2 linked regions of the Arabidopsis thaliana genome follow. The protein of the gene in region 2 interacts with the protein of the main gene of each other region in a pairwise test. Each region holds a gene or a part of one and is shown on either strand. Other genes may lie near its edges.

What was found. The genes of interacting proteins can lie anywhere in the genome.
Region 1: the proteins of AT3G21215 (region 2) and BTR1L interact in a two-hybrid assay, tested with the Arabidopsis thaliana proteins (2 studies listed by BioGRID).

Annotation. Positions count from the first base shown.
Region 1 is NC_003076.8:1,249,704-1,255,475, reverse strand, and holds BTR1L (binding to TOMV RNA 1L (long form)), read left to right. Parts: upstream 1-1,522; 5' UTR 1,523-1,809; intron 1,810-1,950; 5' UTR 1,951-1,952; coding exon 1,953-2,037; intron 2,038-2,341; coding exon 2,342-2,580; intron 2,581-2,685; coding exon 2,686-2,792; intron 2,793-3,217; coding exon 3,218-3,411; intron 3,412-3,911; coding exon 3,912-4,036; intron 4,037-4,461; coding exon 4,462-4,557; intron 4,558-4,626; coding exon 4,627-4,688; intron 4,689-4,777; coding exon 4,778-4,874; 3' UTR 4,875-5,228; downstream 5,229-5,772. Other genes in the region: AT5G04440 (RAP release 2, galactose-binding-like domain protein, putative (DUF1997)), read right to left, coding at 1-153, 261-519.
Region 2 is NC_003074.8:7,440,947-7,447,107, forward strand, and holds AT3G21215 (RNA-binding (RRM/RBD/RNP motifs) family protein), read right to left. Parts: upstream 4,367-6,161; 5' UTR 4,286-4,366; coding exon 4,115-4,285; intron 3,792-4,114; coding exon 3,612-3,791; intron 3,533-3,611; coding exon 3,457-3,532; intron 3,260-3,456; coding exon 3,130-3,259; intron 3,014-3,129; coding exon 2,899-3,013; intron 2,576-2,898; coding exon 2,484-2,575; intron 2,368-2,483; coding exon 2,298-2,367; intron 2,210-2,297; coding exon 2,127-2,209; coding exon of another isoform or gene 2,090-2,126; exon of another isoform or gene 2,030-2,089; coding exon 1,927-2,029; 3' UTR 505-1,926; downstream 1-504. Other genes in the region: MKK5 (MAP kinase kinase 5), read left to right, coding at 4,971-6,017.

The sequences.
Region 1 (5,772 bases), on a different chromosome or scaffold from region 2:
GTTCTTCAACCCTGACAAGCAAAACAGGGCAGACTTCAAAGTTGAAGAATTTAAACGTATAAACATAACATCTAAACGTGTTATCATCAACTCTCTCAATCCTCTCCGCATCAAGCACCGAGTACTGACTCGCAGGTAAGCTCATATACTCAACTGCAAACCATAAACAAAAAGCAAATTCAAAATCAAACAATCCGATCCAGATTTAATCATCCACAGGAAACAGAAATTTAGATCAGAGAGAATCGCGCTGAAGTTACTTAGAGGTCGCTGTAGCTGACGAACGGAGACGGATTGTTTCTGACGAGCGATGAATCGAGCTTTGGGGGTAGAACTAGAGGAGACGCGTATAGGTGACGTAGAAGAGGAAGTGGCGAGAGAAGAAGGTTTGGGTGATTCGTCAAAGGACGATGAGCTAGTGATGGTGAAGGAGAGAGCTGGATTTCTAGGGTTTCGATTCGTCTTCTTCGCCGAGAACGACAGAGAGGTAAGTCTAAGCGTAGCTGAGCTCAACGCCATAGCTAAAACGACGGCGTTTTAGGATATGAGATGTTTAACGACTAACGGCTTAGCTTAAACACACAAGCGAAGGAGAGAGAGTGAGAGAAACGTGATAAGATTATTGGGACGACGAAGATTTGGGAGGTGGCACCACCATCACCACCTGCTTCGACTGCGCATGTTAGCCTGCTGACGTTGTTTCGTTCGCTACAGTTAAAATACGCTGAATATTGAAAGCAAGCCCAACAAGAGCCCGTGAAATGTATATATTGGGCCAACAACGAATAACCTTCGCAATTTGAGTAAGTAAATATGAAAATGTCATGTAACCAGACTCGGTTGGATCCATAACACTTGTCAGTATTTTTGATTAAAATAATTAGTTTTTTTCCTAATTAAAGAGTACAAAATTAATTAAGAAAATGCGAAAAAGAGTTATCTAATTATTGAAAATAATAATGTGTGAGGAATTTGATTACTAATTTTAAAGTTCACAAAATAACATGATTATTTTATTGAAGGTTTTAACCAATGAATCTGTAGTCGTGAAGAAAACACAGGTTGCCACTTCCCATTATTTATTTTGGCTAAAGAGCCACTTCCCATTATTGCCGGGCTAAAAAACCAAAATCACCTTATAATAATATTGAACTTACATTATTAAATCGACCGATTCAAATCATAAACATGCATTACCATTAATCGTATCTATCGTCTTCGTCAACTCTACCGTACAATTTGATAAACATATATTTACTGCAATTCAAGATCTAACAAACTATGAAAATAAATCAAACCAATGCAATAAAATCAAATTCTAAAATGAGAAAATAGAGAGAAAAAGACACATATTGCCATTTTTATTTTATTATTATCATGTTCATTCTATTGCTTTAAAATTGTAGAAAAATGATAATTTTGGTGTTTTATTTTCTAATTATGTTTTATTTCGTAGCACATTTTGATGTTAACACATTTTGTAGTTGAGTTGATTTGATATTTTAACAAATAAAAAGTGAGATGATTGTGAAAGAGGAAAAAAAAATTAAAAAAGAAATAGAGAGGCGGTCAATAAAATTAAATTTAGGAAAAATAAAAAATAATAGAATAAGGGAGGCTAGTGGATAGATAGACGAAGGACACCAGAGCCACCTTCATTCACTTCACAAACCGCTCGGCGACAAAGACGAAGAAGCCGAGGAAGCACCGATACGACGATTGAGACTTAGTTTTGCTCAGATTCATTTAACCACCGGCGCCAAGTGACGACGACGACGGAGGGAGCAGATTCGAATTGTGTGAAGACAGGTAAACTTTGGAATTTTTCCTTCTCAATCTCAGATTTCGATGAACGAGTCTTATCTCTTCCTCTCTCTCCGATTTCGTTCTTATTTCTCTTCATTGAATTGATAATGTCGATTGGTTAATGCCGTTTATCTTCTGTAGCAGCAATGGAGTCTACTGAGTCATATGCGGCAGGTTCACCGGAAGAGCTGGCTAAGAGATCCCCTGAACCGCATGATTCTTCCGAAGCTGGTATTTTCGATCCGATCTGGTCTTCTGTTTTTTTTTCTCCTTCGACTCTGACTCAATTGTTTCGGTATTTCGTCACATTCGTGAATCGGATCTCGTTTAAGTACTCTGTGATATGTCAACGGACATGTGTGATTAATGTCTTTTTTTGCTGATGAAAACTTGTGAGAATGTTTCCTGTGTGATAGATTCATTTTCCAAGGATGGTTAAATTACGCTGTTTCAATTCAATGATTAGCTCAATACTGATGCGGTTTAGTGAACCATGCTATCTATTTGACTATCTAATGTGTTTTCCTCTTTTCAGATTCTGCTGAGAAGCCAACACACATTCGGTTTCTTGTATCCAATGCGGCAGCTGGTTCCGTCATTGGGAAAGGTGGCTCGACCATCACTGAATTTCAGGCAAAGTCTGGGGCAAGGATTCAGCTTTCACGTAATCAAGAGTTTTTCCCGGGGACGACTGACAGAATTATTATGATATCGGGATCAATCAAAGAAGTTGTCAATGGACTGGAACTTATCCTTGATAAATTGCACAGTGAGGTAATCTTTTTTGACAAATTTGTATTTCATGTCACAGTTGCGTTTATTTAGTTTATATAGTATGTCACAATGAAATCAGTTTTAACTTTTCTATCTGTTTGCTAGCTTCATGCTGAAGATGGTAATGAGGTTGAGCCTAGGAGAAGAATTAGACTTGTGGTTCCTAACAGTTCTTGTGGAGGTATAATCGGAAAAGGAGGGGCCACCATCAAGTAAGTTTCCGTTCTGTATTTGTTGCAGCAGTTTCTTTGAGGTTTTCAGACCTTCTATAATCCATAGCCTGTTTCCTTTGACACCATTTCCTACAGCACGCTTAACCACCAAATATCATCTATAATGTATCTGGTTATGTTCTTGCATTGTTTCTATGTTCAAATCTTCTCTGGTTCATATCTTTAAGAGAGCAATTATTTTCTCTGAATGCATGCATAAACAAGTCAAGACCCTATATATAACAGGTGAACAAAGTTTCTGAGTATTAGATATGACTCAGATTGCAGTAGTTTATGCGTATGGAATATCTAGTTCCTTTTAAGTTCTAGAATATGGCATTGCTTTTATGTTTTTTTCCAAGGAATACTGATTTCAGTTGTACTGCTGTCACTAACCCTCAAGACATTTCTTTCTTTGCAAAAAGGTCATTCATTGAGGAATCTAAAGCTGGTATTAAGATATCCCCTCTGGATAATACCTTTTATGGGTTGAGCGATAGGTTAGTGACATTATCTGGGACCTTCGAGGAGCAGATGCGGGCAATCGATTTGATTTTGGCTAAGCTTACTGAGGACGATCATTACTCCCAGAATGTGCATTCCCCATATTCATATGCAGGTATATCAACTCAGTACTTGCTTAGTTAGGTTTGTTATCCTCCTTGAAGCTTCTTTTGTTATCGTGTTCTGTATGTCTTTGATTGCATTTATTCATGTTGGAAAGCAATATAGTAAATGGTTAGATCATTTCCGGAGTTTCCTTTGACAATTGAATTGACACTATCAAATTATTTGTTTTAAGACTGTTTAGTCACTACACATGGACAGGCGTAGATAGGCTAGAAATCACAGTACAAGGTTTTTGATTTCTTGTTTTAGGGTCATGTGAACAATCTAAGTGTCAAGTGTAGATGCTGGATCATATCCCTTGATAAAAATGTAAGATTAGAGTAGGATTTTCTACTGAGTTTTAGATTGTCAGATGTCAACTAAGGTATAGTAATGGCATTTAGTATCTTTCATCTCACATGGACCTTCTTTCCATTTTGAGGGTTGTGTATGATGGTTGTCTGTTGTAGCTTAATTCTCTTGTAAGTTCCTTTAAACTCGGCATTTTAGGTCTTTTCTACTCTGGTTTTCATGGTCCTCCATATGCGTATGCGCTTCCTTCTGTTGCAACAGCGGGATACAATTCGGTTAACTACGCACCCAACGGTTCTGGAGGCAAGTATCAAAACCACAAGGTTAGCCTCTTCTCACAATCTTCCACCCTATTAGTATTTATGCGTTTATATGAATCAATCTCTATTTGTGTTACTACTATGGATAATATGGTGTTACAAGTCATATCTTCCACCCTATTTATGTAAACGCATATATACATGAAAAATCCCTATCGATGTTATTACTATGATTGTTTGGATCAATTCGTACTACAGAAACTTTAGGAGATACCAATGTGAAATCTACATCTGATATTTGTTAGGAATTAGGCTTATTAAAAGGATTGGTGATGCTTTTAATGAACCAAACTACGAAAATAAATTTGATCGGAGATGCAATTCCTGTCACGTCTTACTGTGATAATAAGATGGCATTTTGGTATTTAAACAGCTAGAGATTCGTTTTTTTCTACATTACTTAAGCTGTGTTTTGACATATATTCCAGGAAGAAGCTAGTACCACGGTGACAATTGGTGTTGCGGATGAGCATATAGGATTGGTGCTTGGACGTGGAGGAAGAAACATCATGGAAATCACTCAGGTATTTGGCAACCCTTAGTTAAAACTCTTTCGGTCCACTGAAACTTAAAACCCACTTTTCTTCCCGCAGATGACTGGTGCCCGAATTAAAATATCAGACCGAGGTGATTTTATGTCTGGAACCACTGATAGGTAAAGTTACGATTATTGGAGAGTTACAACAGAACAATGTGTTTGATACCTCTCATGTCTAACTTGATATAAATGGAAAATATGGACAGGAAAGTGAGTATCACAGGGCCACAGAGAGCAATCCAACAAGCTGAGACAATGATAAAACAGAAAGTTGATTCAGCCACAGAGAGAACCACCGATTGAAACCGTTAAGAGAATCCATCTCGGTTCCTATCTTTGGTCTGTTGACTTCATTTGTGGAGGCTTAAGCTATCGGATGGGGATCATTAATCATCTTTGAGTGAGGCAGAGATTTCTCTCTAGGAGCTCTCTTTCGTTTTATTTATATGTCGACATTATATAATGTGTTTTTCTCTGGGAGAGAAGCAGATTTGGAGTTAGAGAAGTACTATTTTCATTTGTTCTTTTAATAACTTTGTTGCAATTTGTTGAAGTTTTGTTTCCCTTGAGTTCTTTCTGTTGTAACAATTTACAATAACCAGCCATTACATTGCATTTGCTTCTTTCTTTTATCAACTATTTTCAGTTCATGATACCAAAACGTGTTGTGTCGGTATAGGACTTAGGAGGATGGTAAATACTAAGCTCTTCAAAAATCAACTCCGTAAAAGTTTTATCTTCTGCTGTTTACACATCAGACCCTTACTTTTCTCTATTTACATAATTCAGATCTTGTAAATTTTCTCCCAGACTCTTCAGTAAATATCAAGTTATGGATCCTGAAACTTTTATTTAACTACAAGTGCTCGGATCTTTTACTATTTACAAGTAAGACTTGTATCTTCTGATAATTATATATATGACGAGGAACAGTTTTCTATTTTCTGAAGTACCCCTAATATTTGGGTACTAAACACAGAAGCACCCATATCCTTTGCTAGTGTACGTAATTGACCCAAACTTTTTAATTAGTATATACACTTGGAGATACGATCTCGCTTCTCACAATCCTTCTCCCTCTCCGGCTCCGAACCATTCACGTTCTCCGGCAGCTCTGGTCATCGCCGCCATTTCGGTTTCTAACTTTATGTTGGTGTTTCTCCTTCCCTTTATTTCTCAGTTATCACTTAATTAGCTTTCG
Region 2 (6,161 bases):
AGCTTCTCGACAAGGAAAATGCTACATCGTTTTCTTTTAAAAAAAGCAAAATAGTAGTCTCTGTCTTGCTTGATGAGAAAATAAACAAACAATTTGTCTTTGACATGCACGTTGAAAGTTTTCCTCTAAAAACACGTAAACGTATTTGGGCCTAATTCAGAAAGGCCTAAAATGGGCTGAGAACGAGTATGGGGACGGCGTATATCCGTCTCAAAGAACCATTCAAAGCTGAAACAATCAATCGCGACAAGGTTCACTTCTCCCTCTCCAAAATGGTCCGATGGAAAGCCTCAGAAACCAGGCACGTTACTCACGATTCTCCTCCCTCTCCGTGCGTTTGTTCCACCAATTTGATCGACATCTCTACCTTTTGCTTGATGATCTTTACTTGAACAACTTGAAGAGGGGTTTCAATCTTTTACCTCTCAGTTCCGTTTTATATTTTTTTTCTTCTTTTTATTAACCTCCCAACTCTTTATCTTGTTTTTCTTGACAGTTCTGCGCTCAGACACACCTGACGTTTAAGAATTTTCTTTTAAGACCATGGTTTTGTGGTTTTAGATGTTTTGCTTCTCTGGAAAGTTGGTCTAAGGAATGCACAAACCCTTTTGTGCAACAAATCTTTTTCTTTGTTGTCTACAGTGATGAAAGCTTGAGACTCGCCAATCATAATAATGAAAACATGTTTCTTACTTGAGAGTTGAGACACTCCTTTATCGATTCTTCTTGGGTTGTCTCTTGGGTTAATTATATTACCTACCTCTCTTTACAGCAAATTTACCATGGTTCGAATTCAGAGAAACAAAACATGAAACTAGGCCCTAGAGATCCTATACCTCAAAATCTGATAAGTAAGCGACCAATTATACACACATTGTTCTTGAAAATGGAAGAGAAACTTTCTCATTTGAAGAATCACTAAATTCGCTTCTGGTTTTCACATCCAGAGTCAAGTAGCCCAAAGCCGTACAGAAACATCAGTTAGAAAAGAGATAAGTTGGATTGGATAAGTAGACTCCATTGTAAAAAGATAGGCTCTTAGGAACTCCTGGCTCTGTTCCTGGACGTCCGAAGATGACCTTACCTCAACTTTGTAGGTGAAACGCATCTCTATTCGAGAGCTTGGGCTTTCTCTTTACGGATTGTCCCTGCATAAGGCCAAGCCAGAGCTGGGAATGTATATATGTTTGCTCAACTATAATAAACCTACAATGTAATGGAATGCCTATCTTCAAATGTTATATCAGCTGTCAACTTCTGACAAAACGGATGTGCTTGTTCATCAGCCTAAGTAAGAACAGAGAATGATCGACATGGGAAATGCTGAAGAATGAAACCGATGTGATAGATCATGAGAGTAATATTCCATGTCTATGCAGTGAAACGAAGTTGATCAAACCCCTCTGGATGTTATCATGTTATGATCTAATGTAATGGTATATCAGCTAACATAGCAAATGGAGTTTCGTTAGGATGAATCAATCATGAGAGCAACATTCCGTGTCCATGCAGTGAAACGAAGTTGATGGAAGGCCTCCGGATGTTATCATGTTATGATCTAATGTAATGTTATGTTTTTTCCTAGCTAACGTTTCATTAGGATGAATCGATCAGAATGATGAAAATGAATCCCACAAAGTGATGTATTAAAGCCGCAATAAGATAAACAAATAGCAAACCAAACTCCTATATAATTCAAACAATCATCAAAAACCACACTGCGAATGCATGTAGCAGAGCTAATAGAAACTGAAACATGTTATATGTTGATGAGGTCACACTATATGCACCCAACACATGACAAAGCAATGCTGATGCTTAAAAATGTCGAGAATGGAAATGGATGAAATGCAGACTGCCTGGAAGATGCATCGTATTCGTGCAGTTGTTGGGAGATAAGGAAGAGAGTACGTCCCCCTTCAAGGCCTACTGATATGTCAGGGCTCCTTGGGCTCCATTAGCACTCGGAGAAGGAAAGAAAGAATAGCCGCCACCTTCCTTTCTCTTCCCATATGGATTCTTTGAATATGTATCATTGGGTTAAGAAGAATCAAACAGAAAAGAAAAAAGAACTTGGCATACTGGAATATTAAATAATCAGAAAGAGTAAAAGTATATAAGGATATTGGATCCTCATGCCAATTGAACCAGAACTTGGAATGACAGCACCTTGCAAATTATGGTGAACATTTGTGGCACTATTGACATCCTGCAAGTCCAGATAGAAGAATTTAACAATATGCTAGAAGAATATTTTCTGTCACATATACACAGATGGTGAAGGTCTCAGAGTTAACCTCGAATTCAATAAAGCAAACTGTATGCCTTTCTTGTCTCAGAATCTTCATTTGTTTGAAACCAGGTTGCCTGCAAAATGAAAGTACAGTTTACCGCAGAATTCTTGAGAACACAGGTCTACAAAAAGGCCAAGATCTCAAGGAAAGCAATGGACAGGAGTCTCACTAAAGGGAACAGATACTCACGCACTCAACAGGCTCCTCAATTCTTCTTCGTTTATATTCTCCCCAAGATTACCAATAAATAGGGTATTGCAAGGTGGATTATCCTTAATATTCTGCAATTGAAAAAAATTTGAAAACAACATGAGACATATATCAGATCACCAAACCTAGGCTAGATATTCATCAAACTAGGTACAAAATTTATCAAACAATCAGAAACTTTAGCAAATTCAGAGCAGTAGACAATGCATTTAAATTAGGCAACAACTATTGTTCCACAACACAACCACCAGAGAGTATAGCATGTAAGCTAATTAGAATGAAGTTCGAGATTGTAATTTTTAGGCAAGGAGAGGCAAGTACAATATGGATTCCGGGTATATAATTGCACAACCACCATATGATAAATAAAATGATGAAAACAGTGCAACTTCACCTGGACAGGCACATAAGAACTAGGAGCTGCTATAGGTGGGGGCGTAGGCATTGGTACAGGGGGAGCATGATAACCTGCATAGGGATCATATGGTGGAGGTGCAGGTGCCATATATCTGAACCAATTTATCTTCTTGTCAAATAAGCAACTTAACATAAAACGGTGTACCAAATACACATCGTCCAATTTCTACACAGCATATGAAATATGAAGGAGAAGCAAATGCCTAACCCATGAGGAGGTCCCCACACAGGAGGAGGTGGAGGATGGAAAGGAGATGGACTATACACAGAGTGTGTGCAGTCACCACCAGTTCGTAGGCGCTTACTTTGATCATAAGCATTTGAATCCCCAACAATACCTACAGAATAAAGATTGAGTTCAAAGGTTATATATGGTTTGTGATATTAACAAAGGAAGTAAGAAACTAGATAAAGGGGAGAGTGTAGTGAGACCCCGTATAAATGCACAAAACTGTATCAAACATGCTTCAGTAACATGACTAATGCTTAAGATAGATAAAATACAGCCATTTTATGTCATAAAGGTAGAGCTAACCTCTTTTAACAAAAAGATTCTTCTTGGCCATCTCTGTATGTATCACAGACTTTGACTCAGCATCAAACACCATATGCTGCATGCCAAGAACAACATATGTCATAATGTGAAGACAAAAAAGGATCTGAGTCAACAATGATCAGAAGCAGACAGACCTGAAGGGTATCTTTGGCTGCCATTGCAAACTGAGCTGTGGAGAAAAGAGCAAACCCCATGGGCTTTTCTCCCTTGAAGTTCACCTGAGAAGCCTCGTAACCAGGCAACCATCTCAAGAGATTCAAAAGCTCTCTCTCTTTTACATCATCGGGAAGCCCTGCGATGAAGATTGTCCGCAGCTGAACAACAGATTCAAACTTGTGTAAGAGATCACGTTTTCCCAAAATCAGAAAACTCCAACTACATGACAAGATAAGAGAACCTTTCTCACTTATGCAACAGGTCATAAGTGAGATTTTAGTAACAAACTTAAAAATCATTCTTATCAAAAAGGTCATAACTTTGGACAATTTATCGATTCCGTAGCAAAATCAAGCTAACATTGTATATCAAAAAGCAGGCAAATTAAAACCTCAACGTAAACAAAAATCAAGCAAGCCCATCTCGACAACACAGCACAAGAATCACCGATATGTATAGAGAGAAAGAGAAAGAGTTGAACCTCGTCATAAGGAGGACGATTATGGTTGTCAACTAAAACAGGAGGAGGAGGAGGATGGTGATGAATGGGCGGCGGATGTGGTGGAGCAGCTGATGATACTGCGGCTGGAGGAGGCGGCGCACCTGCCGGCGGCCACTGCTGGTGGTATGGGTGGATTCCGGCGCCGGCCATGAGATAAAAAAAAAACCTAATTACTCAGAGAGTCAGAGATTGATTGTTCGAAAAAACTTCTGCGGAAGAATTGACGGCAAAGAAGGCAAACTTATTTTTTAAGTCACATGCATCGCACGTGAACACTGTACCACTTTAATTTTATTTCTTTCTTTTTCTGTTAAAAACTTTAAAAAGAAAATTAGTTTTTAATTTTTTTAGAATTATAATTACTTTAAGTTTTTCTTTTTTCAATTGTTTTTATTGGAAAGAAACTTTAATCTGTATTTTCTTACTTTCTAAAAATATTAAATACCTAACACCAAATTTATAGTATCTAAATCCACGATCTTAAACACTCTTAATGATATTATAATCCAATTCAGACCCGACCAAACAAAAAACATGGTTAACGTGTAACAACACAGAGCCACACAAGTGCGAGTGTATTCCACGCTCTTTCCATCAACGCGTACCTTCGTCTTACCATTTTAACTTTTTTTTTTTTTCTTGTTTCTTACAATCATTTTCACAAATCTCTTCGATGAAGCTTCATTCTCCTCTTGATTTGATCTCTTTGAAAAACGACGAATCAAACAAACCCTAGAGTCAAGTCAATCATGATGATAAATACAAACCTGGAAGATAAAGAATCAACCTTGTGAAAAAAAAAAAAAACTTTTGATTCCCTCTTCTTCTAAAAGCCATGAAACCGATTCAATCTCCTTCTGGAGTAGCTTCACCTATGAAGAACCGTTTACGCAAACGTCCTGACCTAAGCTTACCACTCCCACACCGCGACGTCGCTCTCGCCGTACCTCTCCCTCTCCCACCTCCTTCTTCCTCTTCATCCGCTCCGGCGTCTTCCTCCGCGATCTCAACCAACATCTCCGCCGCTAAAAGCTTATCCGAGCTAGAACGAGTGAACCGAATCGGAAGCGGAGCCGGAGGAACGGTTTACAAAGTAATCCACACTCCGACGTCACGTCCTTTCGCTCTCAAAGTGATTTACGGAAACCACGAAGATACCGTGAGACGTCAGATCTGTAGAGAGATCGAGATCTTAAGAAGTGTTGATCATCCAAACGTTGTGAAATGTCACGATATGTTTGATCATAACGGTGAGATCCAGGTTTTGCTTGAGTTTATGGATCAAGGATCTCTTGAAGGAGCTCATATATGGCAAGAACAGGAATTAGCTGATCTCTCTCGTCAGATTCTTAGTGGATTAGCTTATCTTCATCGTCGTCATATCGTTCATCGTGATATCAAACCTTCGAATCTTCTTATAAACTCAGCTAAAAATGTGAAAATTGCTGATTTTGGTGTGAGTAGGATCTTGGCACAAACAATGGATCCTTGTAATTCATCTGTTGGTACTATTGCTTATATGAGTCCTGAGAGGATTAATACTGATTTGAATCATGGTCGTTACGATGGTTATGCTGGAGATGTTTGGAGTTTAGGTGTTAGTATCTTGGAGTTTTACTTGGGGAGGTTTCCTTTTGCTGTGAGTAGACAAGGTGATTGGGCTAGTCTTATGTGTGCTATTTGTATGTCTCAGCCACCTGAAGCTCCGGCTACGGCGTCTCAGGAGTTTCGTCACTTTGTTTCTTGTTGTTTACAGAGTGATCCTCCTAAGAGATGGTCAGCTCAACAGCTTTTGCAGCATCCTTTCATACTTAAAGCTACCGGTGGTCCTAATCTCCGTCAAATGTTGCCGCCGCCTCGTCCTCTTCCTTCTGCCTCTTAGTGTTTCTACCATTTTCGTCTTTCTTGTTTTTCAATTTTTCGTAGTTTTTCCTGACATTTTTCCATAAGTTTTGCATACCCCAAGCAAAGATAATGAGAAGAGTAGAAGAACAATGTGGTTTGTGATTGGGGTATGAGTCGTCAG